3 linked regions of the Coturnix japonica genome follow. The protein of the gene in region 2 interacts with the protein of the main gene of each other region in a pairwise test. Links are inferred from orthologs where the notes say so. Each region holds a gene or a part of one and is shown on either strand. Other genes may lie near its edges.

Region 1 (6,256 bases), on a different chromosome or scaffold from region 2:
CCGTTCCTTCTCTTGCTCTTTCTCTCGCCTTGTCAGTTCCTTTGCCTCCTCAAGTTCTTTAATCAGTTGCTCTCGATACTTTATAGACTCTTCTTGGGCCTGTCTGTTTAACTCCATCTTCTCCTGGATCTGGCGCTGTCTGCCTGCGAGGACCTGTGTGAAATGAGATGATTAAGAAAGAAGATAAGGAAGAGACCAGACATGGAAGCAAACTGTTATCAGAAAAATATATCAGGAGAACAGAAAGACTCGAATACAGAAGGCTGTGACCCTCTGGGGGTTGGAAGGTCACAACTGGAACAACAGCTTTGTCAGACCAAGAGACACCTCATTAAAAGAAGTCATCACCTCATTCATCAGGCGATCTCTGGCCATCTTCTCCTTTGCCCATTGTTCTTCCCTCTTCTCCCACATTTTTCTAGCTTCTTCCCTGAAGGTGAAAGAAAGATTCCTTTCTGAGGTTACTCCTTACTTAAATAAACAGGCACATTTCTACAACAGCAAGGCCTACCAGGCACCTCTTTTTAGTGTCCACCTCTAGATGATCACCTATTTAACAAACAGAAATGAGCTCTGCCACATAGAGAAGAACATCCAGCACATACATTCCCTTTTGACGATGTATAACAGAGCTGCATACACACCTATAAATAACCTGTAGCTCTGCCTCCCTCTCCTTTTCTAACTGGAGCTGTTCCTCAATGACATTTCTCATCCAGGCAGCGTCTGCAACAGCTCGCTCTCGTTTTTCAGCCTTGTGGCGCTGATCCTCCTCTTCTTTCTCAAGGATGGCTAATAAGATTTGTCTGTCTGTTTCCTTGAGGGGAAAAAAAACCCCTAAAGATTAATAACCATCCAGCGGGCTTCCAGCCTGTGTACTTTAGTACTCTGTACAAATCATTGGTGACATAGTGTCAAGGGTGTCCTCAGAAAGACACTCTGACTGCCTGCTTCTCTCTGATCTTTTCACTCCAGCCCTGTTCATAAGCCAGAAGAGGCCTCCTAACTGCTTATCTGTAGGCACTGGAGGCAGACACATACATGAAACACAACAAGTTCCTTCAGCAGGCAGTATCTACTCAGGGGTATGATTTAGTGGAGGGTTTTTAGAGTCAGGGTACTGGTTAGGGTGCGGTTGGACTTGATGATCTTCAAGATCTCTTCCAACCTGGGTAATTCTATGATTCTATTATCTATATTGCACAAATCAGAAGGTATTTTCCTCTTACCAGCTCGTCCTGTACCTCCTGGGCTCGTCTCTTTAACTGGGCATCATATTGATGCAACAAAAAGCGACTGAAGGAAGAAAACAAAACAAATTCAGACCATCTCTAACGCCCTATTATATTGTATACCAGCATTCAGACCATCTCTAAAGCCCTATTATATTGTATACCAGCATTCAGACCATCTCTAAAGCCCTATTATATTGTATACCAGCATTCCAGAAAGTGCATTTACAACATTAAAATACACAGAGGCAACAGAGATACCTGCTACCTCTAACACGAGCAAAAAGTAGCAATGGCACCAATGCATTTATGCTCAGTAGCTGTTCTTGCACTTCCAACAAAACAAGCAAGCATCTGCTGCCCACCCCTGCTATCTAAAACATCTCCTCCTGCTGCAAGTACTATCATGGTCACAGGAAGAGATCCCATCCACCACTGCTTAGAGCTACATTGCATACCCAAGCTCAGTCTTCTTCCGGCGCTCTTCCATTTGCTTTCTTTCTTCTTCTAAGTTTCCCAGCTCCCACTGCTGCTTTAATAAATCCTCTTGCTCTTTCTTCAGCTTGGCTGCCTAACATTTTTGAAAAGGAGAAACAAACAATAACCAAGTGAGTGCTTCAGAGAGCTAAGACATCCCAGTGAGCCTCAGTACCAGCTTGTACCACACTCATAATCGTGGTAGATACTCCACACCATTTGCATCCTACTGACTCACAGCATAAGAGAGAAGGTGAGGAGCTTCAGCTGAAAAAGCTACTGCAACCTCTCACACTGCAGTGTTTCTACATCCAATACAGCACAGAAGGGTGCCCACATTTCAAGAGGTGCAAATGAAGCCTACGAGATGTCATTTAACATGCCTGTATTCACAGAGAGATCTGCATTACAAAGCACAGCTGACTTTGTTCCAAATCTAATCTAGGGGGAAATCTGGAAGGAAGAGGTCAAGTCAGCATTGCTGTGTTTCCAAGTGAAGCAATGAACTTTCTTCCTACACAAGGAGAAGCTGAAGGTTACCTCTGCCTCCCGTAATTTCAGTTCTTCTATCTGTTGAAGCAACAGCTCCCCTTGCTTCTTGTTCTCCAGCTGACGTTTCTCTTCCTCTTGTCTCATTCTTTCCTCAGCTTCCCTTCGTGCCATTTCACATTCATTTTCAAGAAGCTTTCTCTCTCCTCGTTCCGTTGCTTGTTGCTTATTGAGCCAAAAGAAAGCATTGCATTTCAGGTTAGACTAAACTCAAAGGAACAGCCTGTGGTTCAGGAGATGCTCAAATCAGCTTCCAGGAAGCTGACACCTATTTGAAGGACACAGGATAAGATGTGCTAGGGAAGGAAATGAGAAAATGAGACTAAATAGATCTGTTCAGCAGATAACATTGGATTTTCTAGGAGATGAGATACTTCCCATCAACTCCAAGCATCCTGCAGACACCAGAACCTCGCACCACTATGGGAACAAGCAAGGCCAACTCAGTCACTATATAGTACAAAAGAAAACAAATAGCCAGCTCCTAGTCCAGGTAGTACAGGAATACCAGCTGCTTACAGCCCACATTTCATGCAGCTCCAACATACCTGCTGCTTCTGCTTCAGCTGCTCACCCCAGGACTCCACCACGTTCTTCTTGTGTAGCTCTGACTCCACCTGCAGAGAGTCAGCGCTGTCAGAGCCTTTTTCTATTGCCAGCACCTGCAGACACCCACAGTCAGGGGATGGTGCTGTGAGCACTGATGGAGCTGTGGGTGTCCCTGAGCACTGCAGGCAGTGGGAACAGATGGACTTTGGGATAAAGCACCCTTGGGATAAAGCACCCTTGTGGGGATCCCGTGCCGTGACTCCTCACCTCCCTCAGCTCCTCGCTGTTCTGTTTCCATCTCTCCCGCAGCAGCTTCTCGGCGACCTAAGCACACACAGCAGTGTCAGTATATGGGTCCCACACAGCAGTGTCAGTATATGGGTCCCACACAGCAGTGTCAGTATATGGGACACACACAGCAGTGTCAGTATATGGGTCCCACACAGCAGTGTCAGTATATGGGTCCCACACGGCCCAGCTCAGCCCCATCCCCCCCATATCTCTCACCTGCCTCCTTCTCTCCTCTCGTGCCGCCCTCAGCTCCTCACAGCGCTTCCTCATCCCTCCATGTTCCTCCATCCCGCCGGGCTCCGCTCGTATCTCGGCCTGTATTTCAGCCTCCAGCGCGTCCCGCTCAGCGCCCAGCATCTCCCTCAGTCTCTCCCTGCGCTTCCTCATCCCTTCCTCCTCACCCCGCCCCGTGCTCGTGCCGCCCGCATTTTGCGGCTCGCTCCAACGGGCCTGAGCGGAGCAGGAGAACGCGGCGAGCTGGAAGGAGCGGTTGTACGTGTCCCATTGCAGCCGGTTCTTCGCCTCCCTCTCCCGCTGCCGCTCCAGGGCCCGGCCCAGCGCCGGCCGCCACTGCGCCATCACTAGGCCCTAATGTAGGCCGCGAGGGTCACCATGGCAACGGGTACGGGGAGCGCCGAGGGACAAAAAGCATCGGGGTGAACGAATTGGCCTCGCGGGTCGGGATGAGGCCGCAATACATGAGCTGCAGTGCTTTAAGTATTAATGGAGCTGTGAATATTTCAGCACGGTGGAAGGTTTGTGTTTCCTGGCCCTGAGCACAGCTGGGCGCTGTCAGGAGTCGCCCCACGCCTCATTCAGCGCATCCATAGCGCCCATAGGTGTCCGGCTGTATGGAGCTGTAACGGGATGCGGACGGGCCTCGTGCTCAGCCCGGTTCGGCTCATTGAGCTCCGTCCATCGGGACACCGGCTGAATCATTCACTGCCACCCGATCGCAGCGCCCGCAGTGAGCCCGGTGGGACGGCTGTGATTGCACCATAGGCACTGGGTGCTCCATAGGCACAGCGGACACCCCCCACCCCATCGGTTCGGGCTGGGGGTCCCGGTCCGGTCCCGGTCGATACCGGGATGGGCGCACACCGTAAGCCCCGCCCACATTGAGACAAGCCCCGCCCACCTCTACCATAAGCCCCGCCTACTCACCCGGACAAGTCCCGCCCTCTCATTCCTATTGGCCGCCTCTCGGTGGGCCGTGCTCACCCATTGGTTGGCTTCATTGATGGGCGTGTCTCGGCGTGGCGCGCTACCGGGTCGGTGCCGGGTCGGTTCGGTCCGTGCCGGGTCGGTTCATGGCGCTGCTATTAGAGCACGAGTTCCGGCCGCTGCCGGCGGACAAACAGATCGAGACGCTGCCGTTCCTGGAGGCCGTGTCCCACCTGCCGCCATTCTTCGGTAAGAGCTGGGCCAGGGGCTGTGGAACCTGCCGGACCGGGACCGGACCGAACCGGGACGCCGCCACCCGCGGGCACGGAACGCTCAGCAACACCAGCCCCGTCCGGTCCCGGGATCCCATTATAGGGTCCCACACCCCCCCAAGCTTCCACCCCCGCCCCGGTTCCGGTCCCGGTCCCGGTCCGCACCCCCCGGTCCCGCCCCCGGTCCCGCCCCAGTTGCGTCAGGGCCGGGTGTGGCGGCTCGTCCCGTCCGACCCGCTGAGCGACAGCGTTAGGAAACGGCCCGACCCAACCCCCGGGGTGTACAGGGATGGAACGGGGCCGAACGGGACAGAACGGGATAGAACGGGATAGAATGGGGCAGAACGGGACAGAACGGGGCCGAACCTCCGCTCCATACAATGCGCCATTGTACGGAGCCATACGGGGACAGCCGGGCACGGGGCGAAGCCATTGTGACCCCCTGTCCCCGCAGATTGCCTGGGGACACCCATCGTGTACTCACCCGTCAAAGCCGACCTGGCTGGGAACATCAAGGTATGAGGTTGTGGGGGGGGTCACCACCCCATGTACAGCACTGCAGGACCCGGCTGTGGGTGCCCACCTTGACCCCAAACCTCTGTACCCTTATAGAAGATCCGGGCTGTTTATGAGTCCAACCCCAGCAAGTTCAAAACGCTGCAGAACATCCTGGAGGTGGAGAAGGAAATGCACGGTGCTGCATGGCCTAAGACCGGAGCCACGCTGGCGCTGATGTGGCTGAAGAGGTGATTGATTGGGTTGTTATATCGCCCCTAATGTGGGGCTGGGGGTCGTGTAGGGCTCAGGGTCAGAGTGTCACCCCACAGCGGGTTTGGGGTCACGGTACCAGCCTCCTTCTCCCTGGCAGGGGCCTGAAGTTCATGCTGGTGCTGCTGCAGAGCATCTCCGATGGCGAGCGGGATGAGGAGCATCCCAACCTCATCCGTGTCAATGCCATGAAAGCCTATGAGATTGCCCTCAAGAAATACCACGGCTGGATGCTGCAGAAGCTTTTCATGGTGAGAGCCGGGGCAGGGGGTCATAGAACCATTAAGGTTGGGAAGGACCTCTGAGATGAGCCATCCTCTCCATGCCATGTCTCTAAGGTGCCATAAGCTGCTGCTCATGGGGTCACCCCGCTGTGGGGTGGGCAGTGGGACATGGGGGTCCCATTGGCTTTTGGGCATCCCCACAGCCAAGGCTCAGCTCTGCTCTCACCCCATCCCACAGGGCTCGGTCTATGCGCTGCCCTACAAGTCAGATCTGCTGAAGGCTTTGGAGAAAGGCAGAGAGGTGAAGGAGGAGGAGAGCATTGAGAAGATCCACCAGTTCCTCACCAGGGTGACTCCCATCCTGGATGCCATCTATGAGATGTACACCCGGATGAACGCCGAGCTGAGCTACAAAGCTTAATGGGGTCAGAGCAACAAGCGGGGCCGCTCCGCTCCTCAAACCCCATCCTGCTGCGGATCTGCACCCGACAGGCCTTTTTTTCTAACAAGAATCATTCATTTTCTATCGAAATTCAAGCAATAAACCAGTTGTACCCTGGGGGCACCTCAAGATTTCCCAAGCTTTTATAGCACAGAGGAAAAATATCCACGTTCCTCAGGAGCTGTTGCAGGGAATGACGTTTGATGGGTGGCCTCATCCTGTTGGTGCTGCTGGGCTTTGGGTCTCACACAGCTCCGGGCACCCAACACCTCTCTGACCCCACAGCAG
Region 2 (6,256 bases):
CTCCCAATGGCTGGGGCTCACATTGGGGGGGGGGTTTCACTTGGGGCTCCTCTGGGGGCTGGGCGGGTCAACAGTGGGCGGGGGGGGGGGGTCTCACCTGGGGGCTTCCCAGGCAGGCAGGGGCTGAGCCGCCCCACTCGTTCGTGGGAGACCAATCTCGCCAGGCGCAGCCCCTCGTCCATCAGCGTCTGCTGCAGAATGTGACGGCTCCAAAGCCCGTGCGGGGGGAGCGCGATGGGACCATCGGGGGCAACGCCGGGCGGGGGGGTCAAACGGGGACACAGCCCCACCGCTGCGAACAGACGGAAAGGGTCACAGCCCGGGGAGGGGGGAATAGGGGAGGGGGCGGCCCCGCGGTGCCCCCCACTCACTCACCCTGCCCGTCCAGGCTGTCTGCGGCCGCTCCCCCCGCATCCTCCTCATTGCGATAAGGGGCTGCGTGAAGCTCCGATCCCATTGAGGGGGGGGGGTCGGGGCGGCTCTGCTCCCCCACCTGCACGGAGCACACGGGTGAACACCGGGCTCCCCCCCCCCCCCGAGCCGTCACACCTACACGTGGGCGGCCGCTGCCCACGCTCACAGCTGTGCATGCACGCACACGCGTGTGCCCCCCCCCGATACACGCATCCCCCCCCCGCACCCACCTCCTGTTTGAGCCGCTTGGCCGCGCCGGCCCCGCCGTCCTCGGGCTGCGCCCTGTGCGGGTGGGAGCACAAAGGGCTGCGTCAGTGCGGGGGCAGCACCGCACGGTTCCCCCCCCCCACTCACGTTATGGGGCGGTGCTGTGGGGCACAGCGGGGTCTGGTACAGATGGAACCGGGGCGGGGGGGGCAGGGGGAGGGAGCAGAGCAGCGCCAGCTTATGGAGGTGGGGGGGGGGAAAGGAGCTCGGGACTGGGGGCTCCAACAGCATCCCCTGTGCTGTGCCCCCCCCCCCAACACACACACATTGAGGCACCAAACTGCCTCAGCAATGGAAAGGGGAACTCGCAGCCCCCACCCCCGCCCGGAATTGCCGGTGGTGCAGCTCCCATAGGGGAAACCCCCACTGGGGGGGGGGGGGGATGCTGAGGGCCCCCCCTGCTCACCTGGACACCTTGAGCGAGGACAGGTAGGTGCTCTCCCTCGCGACCTGTCGCGACAGCGAGAACAGCTCGACGCGCCGCAGCAGCAGCGAATTGTCCCGCAGGCAGAACTGAGCCGCAGCCTCGTTAATGATGAGCTGCGGGGACAGAGCCGTCAATAGCACCGAGGGGGGGGGTCACAGCGAGCCCCCAGCCCAGCCCGACCCCCACCCCGCCCCCCACCTCGTGCAGTGTCAGCTGTTTGCCCTCCCTTCGCCGCGCATCCCCTCGCCCGTAGATCGCGCTGTGCCGTCGGATCTCCTCCTCCTTGTGCCGGTCTCCGTCTTCCAGTTGGAAGATGTGCCCCACGGCTTTGGCCAACTTCTTATTGAGCTTCAACAGAGCCCGCAGCTCCGCGTCCCCCCCCCGGGGGCAGCTCTGCAGCAGCCTCTCCACGCTCTCCGTCACCGTCCGCACCAACTCCGGTTCCAACACATCGCCCCCCGACGGCTGCTCGGCGCCCCCCGGTGAGAACGGAGGAGCTCCGGGCTCCTCATCCCCTCCACCCTCCGATTCCGGGGTGCTCCTCCCCGGCCACGGCGACACCCCCGACGGCGACAACTTCTCCGACGGCTCCGTTGGGCTGCGGGCTGGGGGCGTCCCCGCGTTGCCCCCCCCTTTCCCCGCAGTTTCTCCGGGGCTGCTGTGCCCGTTACTGAGCGATTTGCGGCCGTCGTTCAGCTTGAAGAGGGGGATGCTGCTGACGGGCACGGCCGGTACCGGCTGGCTGAAGAGCCCCGGGTTGGACGCCCACTCCCGCAGCGCTTTCTGCAGTCGGCGGACGTGCAGCGGTTTGGTGGCCATTCCCACCAGCGCCATGATCTCTAAGAACTCCTCCTCGCCAGCCTCGCAAAGCTGCTGCACGTCGTCCCCTCCTTGTTGGATGAAGGTCTCGTAGTAACCCAGCAGGTTGGCACGTTGAAGAACCCGGTACAGCTGCAGCTCCCCCAGCGTGCGGGGCACGGCCATGGTGAAGCCTATGGGACAGACGGACGGACGGCGTGACGGGGGAAGGACGGACGGACGGACCCCCCCCACCCCCACCCACCTTTTGGCCTGGGGTCTCCACTGAGCATCCACAGCTGCACCGACCCCAACACAAACACGAGTGGGTCCCCATTGAGGAGCTTGGAGACCCCACACCCCGTGGCCCCACCCGTGCTCCCACCCCATGGGGCACCGCTTAGGGCAGAGCACACCCAGGGCTGCCCCAGTCCTTCTCTACCCCACGGGGACAGCAAAGTCTCAGCCCCCCCCTCTTTGGCCCCTACAGACCCCACCTTGCACCCAGGCCCACGCGTGCTCACTGATCAGGCTGGACCCCACACCCGCATCCCCCCTGATCCCAACACAGACACGAGTGGGTCCCCACGGCAGAACCATAAACCCCCCCCCACCATTCCCACATCACGAACCCACTCGTGCCCCCACCCCACGTGCAACAAAACACACCCAGCTCTACCCCAACCCCACGGGGACACCGATGTCACGACTCACCCTCCGACCCCCCCCCCGTTTCCCTCCCGTTCTCTCACCGCGGGCTGCAGCCCCGTCCGGCCGCTACGCGAACCCCGTGGGCATGGACGGACGGTACCGGGGGGCTCGGGGGGGTGTTCGGGGGTCCCGATTCCGGGCCGTGCTCGTTCGCTCCGCCGAGTCGCTCCGCTCTGCGCGCCGCCCACACGGGCGGTACCGAGAAATAGCAGCGGCCCCGGCTGCGGCTGCGGCGTGGGAGGCTCCGGAGGCGGAACCCGCGGCTGCCGCCCCCGCTGAGCGCGGCGTGGGAGGATGAAACGGGGGGGGGGGAACCGTAGGACCGCCCCATCCCCCCCCCTGAACCGAACCGGGACGGAGGGAGCGGCTGCGAGCAGGGCGGAACCGGGGGGTCCCGTCGGGCAGAGCAACGTGAAGACACGGGGGTTGGGGGTCCCGGGCAGGGGCTCGAGCAACCGGAGCCTACGGGGGGTGGGGGGGGGACACCGTATGTGAGTGGGATCACGGCTGTCACCGTGTCGGTGCCACCTCCCGGTTATGGGATCGCAGCCGGGTCCGGGCACCGGGTGGGGGGGGGGCTTCAGAGCGAGCAGCCCCGGGACAGAGCGGGTCCGGTTCGGTTCGTGGGAGGGGAGGAATTTCTCTGCCATCGCCCCCCCCCCCCCATGCTGAGCCCGGCTCTATTTATACCGAGCCGGCGCCGCCGCCCCCGCGGCCCCTGCCCCGCGTGGGGGGGGGGGACACGACAGCGCCGCGTTCCGGAGCCGTCGGGGGGAGGTGGGGGGGGGTCCCGTTCGGAACAGCCCATATAGAGCCCATATAGAGCCCATATATTCCGAACCCCATATAGACCCCATCTATGTCCGAATCCCTAAGACCCCCCCCCCAGGGCCATGCATGTCCAACCCCCCCCCCCCCCTCGTGTCCGGCCGCCCCCGTTTGACGCACATCCTCCACCACGACCCGCACGCTTCCGGCTCCGCCGCCCACTGACCCGGGGGCCGGCCCGTGAGCCCGACCCGCCCACGGAATGCCGAAGAGCCCAAGGGTATTGGGGGGGGGGGGTTAACAAGCCCGGGATCCAGCCCCTACGAGCCACCCCCCCCCCAGTGTGGGGTCCAATGAGCATCGCGCTGCCTCTGCCCGCTGTAGACCCCCCCCCCCAAGCAAAACAACGACGGTGCGCTCCGTGAATAAGGTGGAGGAGCTTGTCAATCAAGCCGGCTTGGTGGCGAGGGAGGGAGAAAACGATGCTGAGCGGCTGATTGGTTGAGGTGGGCTTGCTCTGTCCAAGCTCGTTGCTAAGGCGGGCTGCGTTGCCTACGGTGTGGGATGGCTTCGGGAGCGAGTGGAGCACGTTGGTGGAGTGTGGGTGGGGCTAAATCCGCATCCTGCCTAGGCTGTGCTGATAGGTCGAGCGCGCTGTCAATCAACACGCAGGGAGACGATAATCCCGTCACGGGTTGATGACGTCAGGCAAGCCTCGCTCTCTCATTGGGTGTTGTCCCGTGGGGAAAGCGGAAGCGGAAGTCGCCGGGAACGCCATGGCGGGAAAGCGGATGAAAGCGGTGCCAATATGGCGGGCGGGGCCTGGTCGTGTTTCTTGCTGCTCCTCGCGCTGCCTCCTCCGCCGGGCGGGGCCGGTGAGCGGCGGGCGGAACAATGGGCCTTTATGGGCTGAGAGCGGGCGGGCCTAGTGGGGGCCTATAATGGAGTCATAGAGCGGCCATAGCCTGGATCCGGCTTTAGAGTCTCGGGTGGGGATGGCGGGGGGTTGGGGTCTCCGGGTTTGGGGGCCTGGTCCGGTGTAAGGGCTCTGGTTGTGGGCTGGGGGAATGCGGTGGAGATGGGGGGTGGTGGGGGTCCCCGGGTGAGGGCGGGACTGGGGGGAACCAGGGGGATGGGAGATGGAGAATGGAGATGGAAGATGGGGGGGGGGAGTGAGTATGGTCCGGGTTGGGGTCTGTGTGGGGCTGGGGGAAACGGGGGGGAAATGGATGAGATGGGGGAGAGGGGTTGGGGGTCTCGGGTTGAGGGCTGTCTGGGTTAAGGGCGGTGTGAGATGGGGGGATGGAGAGTGCGAGAATGGGGGGGTGTTGAGGGTGCCGTTGGTTGGGGGTCCTGTGTTGGGGTCCTGGTTAAGGGGTGGTCCTGCCTCCATGTGCACCCAATGGGGCCCTTTGGGGGGGAGCAGCCCGCAAATGGGGAGGGGGTGTTGGGGGGGGGGGGTCTCGCATCGCTATTGTGTTAATTCTTCCTTCCTTTCTGTGCTGTGAAGATGCCGGTGGGATGGGGACGGTGCTGGGGAAGGGGCTGGAGGAGGTGACCCCGCTGCAGGAGGGCTCCGCGTTCTGCCATGACGCCTCCCATCATTTCTGCTACACCAACACACGCAGCCCCAGCTGGAAGGACATCTGGACCAGGATGCAGGTGAGGGGGGAAAGGAAAGGAGGGGAGGTGGGCTCTCATTGTACCATAGAGCTGAGCCCACCCCGTGTGTGTTTTCTCCCCCCCCCTTAGATCAGGGTGAACAGCAACCACATGATCCGCGTCACCCAGGTGGGCAGCGAGGAGGAGCTGAGGGAGCTGGAGGAATCCAAGGTTTGGAGCTTCCTCTCCTCGCTGCTGAAGGAGAAGCTGAACAGCACCAACATCGACGTGGATCTTTACAGCAACAAAACCTGCCTGAAGGTCGAGCTGCTGGAGGCTGGGACCAGATACTGCATCGTGCTGACCCGCTGTACGTCTGCTCTGTGCTTGGGCTGTGGGTCCTCCCATAAGGGACAGCAAGTTTGTTTTGTTGCATACAAAGAAAGATGGGTTTGTAGAGGAGGAACACTTCACTTCCTTGGGATAGAGAATAGGAGCACAGTGTACTTGACAGGGCTTTGCCTTGGGCATTGCCCCACCTTGCTTGCTGTCAGTGTATCAGGATGGAGCTTGCACTCCTCCTAACCTGGGTTTGTTCTCCTTCCAGGGTTTGACCCCAAACTGTTCCTGGTTTTCTTCCTGGGCCTGTTGTTGTTCTTCTGCGGGGACATGCTGAGCAGGTGAGTGGCCTCCTGTCCCCTGTGAGCTGGATTTGCAGGCTGACTCCTTTGTGTGGGTACTGTGGGAAGGCAGAGTATTTCTATCAGCTTCTCTATGCCTGCAGGGCTGGCCAGGCCAGGCCTCACTCCATGAGCTTTATGGGGCTCTATGCAATTCCCTCATGGATGTTTGGGAACGTGGGGTGCCTTTCTGTTGGTTCCAGCCAGCAGATGTGCTTGTGCCCATCTTATAAGCTATGAAATACCTTGTGTGATCTCTGCAGGAGCCAGCTCTTCTTCTATTCAGCTGGGATAAGCATTGGTTTGCTGGCCTCGCTGCTCATCCTCATCTACGTGATGTCCAAGGCCATGCCCAAGGTGAGCAGGGCTCTGGGTGATAGATTTTGTGGCCTTGTTCTGTTTGGTTGTGGGTTTGGCCTCACACAGAGCAGGGTGTAGAGCCTGAAGGGATGCAGCCATCAATGCCTTCTGCCAACAGCCTCCCTTGATTGATTCTCTTGTTTCCTCTCTTAGAAAAGTCCTGTTTATTTCCTGCTGGTCGGAGGTTGGTCCTTTTCCCTTTACCTGCTTCAGCTGGTCTTCAAGAACC
Region 3 (6,163 bases), on a different chromosome or scaffold from region 2:
GATGGAATGCTGGTGCTAAACTTGGATGCCAAAACTCTGTTGACACCTCTGGAGCTATGACAATAACGAGTGTCTGAACTTTTGCCACCTCTCATTTGACTTTTACAGTCATGCTATCAGAGGGATTTAATACAAAACTACGCTGCAGCCAATTCAACACTTTGCAAACCTACAGAGAATGCTGTAAGAAGTATTAATAATAATAAAGACTACAGTTCTCTATGTGATTAATTGTATCTTTAGTATCAATATTTGTAATTCCGTCATTTCTTGATTTTCAGTCAGGAAGCAAGGGTATTTTTTTTACCATTTACCACAACTTTGGTGCTTAAGCTTTCTGATGAAAATACGGAGACAAATTCTTAGCCATGTTTGTGTAGCTTGTGGTAGCTGTTCTCAGCCACGTTTTGTACTCTTCTGATTTCATTACAGACACTTTGCTCTACAGTACTGTTACCAAGGGCAGAACTTAAGTTAGCCTCCCCCACTAGAAGCGATTCTAGCAAGTGATCACTTACCAGTTCTCTTTCAGGTCTTCAGGAAGGATATAATCTCCCCAATTCCATTTCATTGGAAACAGCTGCTCCCATTACCTGTACGCAAGGTTTCAGAAAGTTCAAACCACAGCTTTGGAGCTTGTGTCTAGGGATTTTACAGGAAATGCCTGTCCATCAGCCCTTCTGCCAGAACACATATTGTCTGGGCTGTTCTGAAGAGTCAATTGTTACAACTCCAAGAATAGGCAATAATAAGGACAGTCTAAAGCACATCCTTTGGGAAACAAATTGAAGGAAGAAGGTTTTAAAGGAATTCATACATATTTTCTTTCAAATAATTCCACTATAAATGTTTGTTGAATGGGAGTACATCTCTGCAAAATTTCACTGCTAATGCTTGACCAATACACAACATCTTCAGAACTGTTAGAAGAAAGATTTCTATTTCATTAAAAGGAAACACATTGTTCTGTGATTCTATTATTGCACTGTTCTCAGGAACTGCAAACTCTTTCATAAATGTACATCTAAGTTAATAAACAAAGTAATCATTGTGGCAATCTTGCAAGTTTCTTGTCTGATGGCACAGATTAACTGTTCACCAATTGTCTAACCAACATTTTCCCAAATATTTCTGTGGATATTTAACAATTTATCAGCTGGCAGAGTATCTTATCTTGTTTAATAGAAGTCTATTCTTTTTAGAGAAGTAGATACTTAGCACAGCCAACATTGAAATCTCAAGGAAAGCAAGCTGTTACTGTAGCACTGATTTTATCCTGGAAAACCCTGCAAAAACACAAAGATATGTATATATACCATTACACAAGTATATGAATATAACAAGTATATCATGTTTATCCCTTGGTTTACTTAGGAGTAACTGAAAAAGCATTATTGCAGAATCATAGAATTGTAGGGGCTAGAAGAGACCTCTAGAACTTTTCTAGTCCAACCCCCCTGCCAAAGCAGGCTCCATAGATCAGGCTGCACAGGTAAGAGTCCAGGTGGGTCTTGAACATCTCCAGAGGAGAATCCACAACCTGTCTGAGCAGCCTGGTTCAGTGCTCTGTCACCCTTACTGTGAAGTTCTTACACACATTTGTACGTAACTTCCTATGTTTCAGTTTGTGACCATTTCCCCTTGTCCTATCACCACACATTGCTGATAAGAGTCTGGCCTCATCCCTTTGCCTCCCGCACCTTAGGTATTTATAGACATTGATCAGATCCCCTCTCAGTCTATTCTCAAGGCTGAACAGACCCAGGTCACTCAGCCTTTCCTCATAAGAGAGATGCTCCAGCCCCTATATTTTCTGGAACAGTGATTAATTAGACCAAACATAGTTTAATGGAGAAGGCTGTGAGTAAGGAACCTCCCTCAAATAGTGGCATCCTTTGTTCTGATCTCTGTTCCTGGGAAGACTCCTCACACAGGGCTAATCATGCTCCTTGTGTCTTCCCTGCTAAAGGAAGACTGCGCCAGTTCTGAAAAGCCATGCTGTCTTCTTCCAGTTTTTCAGCTCCTCTTCTGTACAACTTCAGACTTGTCCCACACTTTGTTGCTGCACAAAAACAAGGCAAAAAAGGAAGCCTGACTTCAACTGCGTAACCAGTTGTGTATAATACACGGAACGAGGTTGACCACTGTAAAAGCATTACGTCACTCACGTATTTACCAAAAGGGCTGTTTCTGCCTGGGAATCGTCCTTGGTAAGAGGCAGGAGCCTTTCTTGTCAGTAGAGGGCAGCATAGGCCTCATCAGTGAATAAAACCAAGCTCATTTACGTAAAAATCATACGGATTTTCACCGTAATTGCGAATAAACCCTATCATACGCCCGTAAGTTTGCCAGAAATACACATCTTTCCCAGAATCACTGTGAATACTCTGCGTACAATGCATGCGAAAGAATAAAAGGCCGTGGCATTGCTCCCCCCGGGTCCCGCCGGCACCAGGCCGCGCTGCCCCCCCCCCCTACCCGGCCCGCTCGCAGACATGGCGGAGCGCAGCGCGGCCTGGGAGGTGGGGAGGGTTGCGCCGCATTGAGGCCCAGCGCGGAGGTAACGGGGTACGGGTCCGTATTGCTGCATATTCCCCAGCGACACAGCTTTCTCTTAACCGATATTGCTCGAGGGTGAGGCCGAGGGAGGCGGTGGGGCCTGGCGCAGTGTCCGAGCACCGCGGGATGGGTGCTGGGCGGGCCCGGTTGGGGGAAGAAGAGGCGTCAGTCAGTGTGTGACAGGTGACAGGAAGAGGGGAAATGGACTTGGATGCATTTTTACTCTGTCTTGGTTTATCAGTGGAAGTTTTCTGCACTAAGGAAAAGTGGACTATGGTTTTGAATCTGTGAAGGTGTATGGCTGGAGCAAGGCACTTACCCCAAATGATTTTGGAGAGGGCAGGTTTTTTTCCCCAAGGGTTAGCTTCTTAGTTTTAAAAATGAGACAGTGGAGATTTGGGTTAGATCTGAGGAGGAAGTTTTTCACACAGAGGGTGGTGATGCACTGGAACAGGTTTCCCAAGGCGGTTGTGGATGCCCCATCCCTGGAGGCATTCAAGGCCAGGCTGGATGTGGCTCTGGGCAGCCTGGTCTGGTGGTTGATGACCCTTCACATAGCAGGGGGGTTGAAACTACATGACCATTGTGGTCCTTTTCAACCCAGGCCATTCTATCATTCTATGATTAGTTAGCAGAAAATCTCTCACACTGGTTTGTTTGTTTGTTTTTCCCCCATGCAGTGATTTTCATTTTTAAAACCTTTGGATTCAGTACAATGTTTTGGGATGACTGTATTTCAAACCTGAGGTAGTCTGTTTTATTTATTTTTTTGTTTGTTTGTTTGTTTTCTCCTTAAAAGCAAACTGACTTACTAGATTTTTATTGATCACCATTGCTAATTCTTGTACATGCAGTGACTCATTATGCCATGTGGTCAAGTGTGAGAGATGGTAATGATTTGGCAAGAAAGTACCTCAGCAGCACAGTATTACAGAGCCTAATTGAAAATGCAAACCAGTTTCTATCTTCACTTAGAATTCAGATGGATGTTCCCATACTTTGCTGAAATTAAGCAGAATGGAAATGCCTTGTGTTACTTCTTGGAACAAGGAAGACAGCAGAAAACTGCTGACTGTTTGTTCAGCAGCATTTGCCAAATAGCATTAAATCAAGTGGGGTAGTGGTAAAATTCCAAATGTTTTAAATGTCGGATGAAAAAACAGTGTATGGCACAAAGACTGGATGAGGGATTAAAACCTTCCCTCCAGTCTGTGACCAGGCACCTTTGGGCCTACAGGGTGTTTTGTTGTTGTTGTTGTTGTTTGTTTGTTTGTTTTTTGAGGGTTTATTTTGCCAAATATTATGCAAATAGGTATCTTAAAAATGTAAAATTTCCTAAAGGCCATAGGGAAATCGTTTTATCCCCAAGGCTGGGCTTTCTCATTGTGCACTATTACACAAGGCTGCATGGGTTTGCTGTACTACAGCCCCCTCAAGTGGTAAAACATTTTCCCATTTAAAACTGCAGCCAACTCCACCACCTCACTGTTGTGCCATGCTCCAGAGAGGTGAGTAAGTTTCATTGTGTAAGCTTCATAACTAATAATGGATATTTGTAGACTACCAGCAGTTGTTTTAGACTTCTGTTTTCCTATTTGCTGAATAACTTGCTTCAATCAGTGCTTTTGCATATCTGACAGCAGAAAAAACAACAACCCCTTGGCGGCATGCAGGGTGTCTGACTGTTCCCTAGATTAGAACAAGCTTACAGAATTCCATCTACAAAACAACCAAAGAAAGTATTCATGTACCTGGGAGAAGAACATAGGCTGTAGATTTTTGGTTTTGCCATTATGCTGCAAAACATCAAAGCCCTGTTACACAGCAGAAACATCAGTGTTCAACGAATGTGTGAGTAAGAAAGAAAGAAAGGCTTACTCTGCTTAGGTTCAATGTGAACTTTGGCTAGAAAATACCCTCCAGTGTTGCCACTGCATCAGTAATTCTTTGTTTCTCCCTCTAAGAACATGGAAAACATGCAGTAGACTCAGAGTATTTACTTGTATCTGGATTCTAGAAATGTTCCTTGACATACTGACTTAATATGAAATGCTCTGCAGGATTCCCTGTGTTAAACACTCTGCCTCAACCTTTGAAGGAAGCCAGAAGTTTTAAAATGTACTGGGTTTGTGCTTGTTCTCAACATCAGCCTTGGTGATTAAAATCCAATTGCCACTTGTCTTACAGAGCAGCAGTGCAAAAACAGCATTTTTAGTTTCTCATCACACTGCCTTTTAATATGGAAGCTGAGATGAAATCTGTGATTGTCTAGGTAGTGGAATACTTTATGGTTATGGGTATGTATCACTTTTCAGCTTGAAGTATTTTAAGGTCTTTTGAAAACTGGGTACACACAGCAAAGCAGTGCCGTGCTGTGTGTACAATGCTTTCTCTTCAGAAACCCTTCTTCTCATTTGTCATTGATGAAGGCATACTTATTACTTTTACTTGGTTGTTTCCCTGCTGGTTGTTTCTTGTGTTTCTACTTGCAGATAATGAATATCCCACTCCGCTGAAGATGTTAATTACAGATTTCAATTCTGGTCTTGTCATGTGTTTTGATGACTTTTTTTCCTTTCACACAGTTCTGCTGAGTAAGAGGGTCACCCAGTTCTCTTTGCTGTTTGTCATACGAGCTGAGGAAAGCACTTCCTCAGAAGTGATTGTTTGGACATAAACGTGAGTAGTTTAGTGGCTAACTGAATTTCCAAAATTAGTTTTAAACTTCTATATTTTCATGCCCACATTCTGTTATCCATTTTTGTTCAGCTGCAACCATAACCTTTACTTGAATTTGCTGTTGGATAAGCTTGAAAAAGTAAATGCACCACTATGGAGATCTTAGGATTTCTAGGAATTTAACCACTGCATTACTGTGGGAAAAAGTCTTAAGGTAGAACATATATATTATATTTATCTAATCCAAGACAGACTACTAGAAGGTGAATGTTTGGGAGATGGGGAGCTGTCCTGCTGTAACCATGGCCACCCTGCTTAAGAAAACAATTCTTTCCACTCTTACAGACTCTGTGGTTGGTTACCAGAACAAATGAGGAAGGATTTGGCTATAGGTGCTTTATTTTATTTTATTTTACAGTTTTACAAATATATTTGAAAAAGCGTATCTCTGTTTTCTCTCTGTTTCTGAAACTGCTTTAGAAAAATAATTTCTGTTATAAACATTATTTGAGCTCTCACGGGGCTTCAAAATGTCAGGCAAGAATGAGCCGTTTCAAGACAAGTGAAGTGAAAGCAGACAGCGTTTGCTATGGAGGTCAGGCTGGTCTGTCGTCTGTGCTTGTAGAAACATAATGAAAGTTGATCCTCGCTGTCTTGTCCTTCTTTTCTTTTGAGCTCCAAGGCCCTACCTAATGTTTAAACTTATTTCTGGCATGCATAGTACAACTGAAAGCTGCGAAATGTGCAAATTGTCCAGCTTTCTTTCTTCCTCTTCTTTCCCCCCTTCCTGGGAGATTTCATCATGGAAATAGTGATGGTGCAAGAAATCTACTTGTGAGTTCCTTCAAATGTGCGTGTGTGTATCTGGCCTTGCATCAGTTTCCAAGTGCAAGTGACCTTTTATAGGGTCATGATATATACAACT

Evidence for each region.
Region 1: the proteins of NAB2 (region 2) and TCHP interact in binary tests that used the Homo sapiens proteins (3 or more experiments, as listed by UniProt). The two-hybrid records come from large-scale screens. The link is inferred for Coturnix japonica from reciprocal best matches to the Homo sapiens genes NAB2 and TCHP.
Region 3: the proteins of NAB2 (region 2) and TCEANC interact in binary tests that used the Homo sapiens proteins (3 or more experiments, as listed by UniProt). The two-hybrid records come from large-scale screens. The link is inferred for Coturnix japonica from reciprocal best matches to the Homo sapiens genes NAB2 and TCEANC.

What each region holds. Positions count from the first base shown.
Region 1 is NC_029530.1:5,973,855-5,980,110, reverse strand, and holds the start of TCHP (trichoplein keratin filament-binding protein), read right to left. Parts: upstream 3,724-6,256; 5' UTR 3,678-3,723; coding exon 3,315-3,677; intron 3,132-3,314; coding exon 3,075-3,131; intron 2,876-3,074; coding exon 2,807-2,875; intron 2,424-2,806; coding exon 2,250-2,423; intron 1,804-2,249; coding exon 1,691-1,803; intron 1,297-1,690; coding exon 1,230-1,296; intron 818-1,229; coding exon 645-817; intron 431-644; coding exon 349-430; intron 154-348; coding exon 1-153. Other genes in the region: GLTP (glycolipid transfer protein), read left to right, coding at 4,409-4,511, 4,989-5,050, 5,147-5,280, 5,403-5,553, 5,765-5,947. UniProt on the Homo sapiens protein: Tumor suppressor which has the ability to inhibit cell growth and be pro-apoptotic during cell stress. Inhibits cell growth in bladder and prostate cancer cells by a down-regulation of HSPB1 by inhibiting its phosphorylation.
Region 2 is NC_029544.1:1,653,224-1,659,479, forward strand, and holds the start of NAB2 (NGFI-A-binding protein 2), read right to left. Parts: upstream 3,468-6,256; 5' UTR 2,659-3,467; intron 2,101-2,658; 5' UTR 2,093-2,100; coding exon 1,307-2,092; intron 1,222-1,306; coding exon 1,088-1,221; intron 697-1,087; coding exon 645-696; intron 494-644; coding exon 376-493; intron 293-375; coding exon 98-292; intron 1-97. Other genes in the region: NEMP1 (nuclear envelope integral membrane protein 1), read left to right, coding at 4,194-4,260, 4,896-5,047, 5,138-5,357, 5,595-5,667, 5,931-6,024, 6,181-6,256. UniProt on the Homo sapiens protein: Acts as a transcriptional repressor for zinc finger transcription factors EGR1 and EGR2. Isoform 2 lacks repression ability.
Region 3 is NC_029516.1:110,837,898-110,844,060, reverse strand, and holds the start of TCEANC (transcription elongation factor A N-terminal and central domain-containing protein), read left to right. Parts: upstream 1-2,320; 5' UTR 2,321-2,339; exon of another isoform or gene 2,340-2,434; intron 2,435-2,451; exon of another isoform or gene 2,452-2,574; intron 2,575-3,094; exon of another isoform or gene 3,095-4,067; intron 4,068-5,144; 5' UTR 5,145-5,238; intron 5,239-6,163.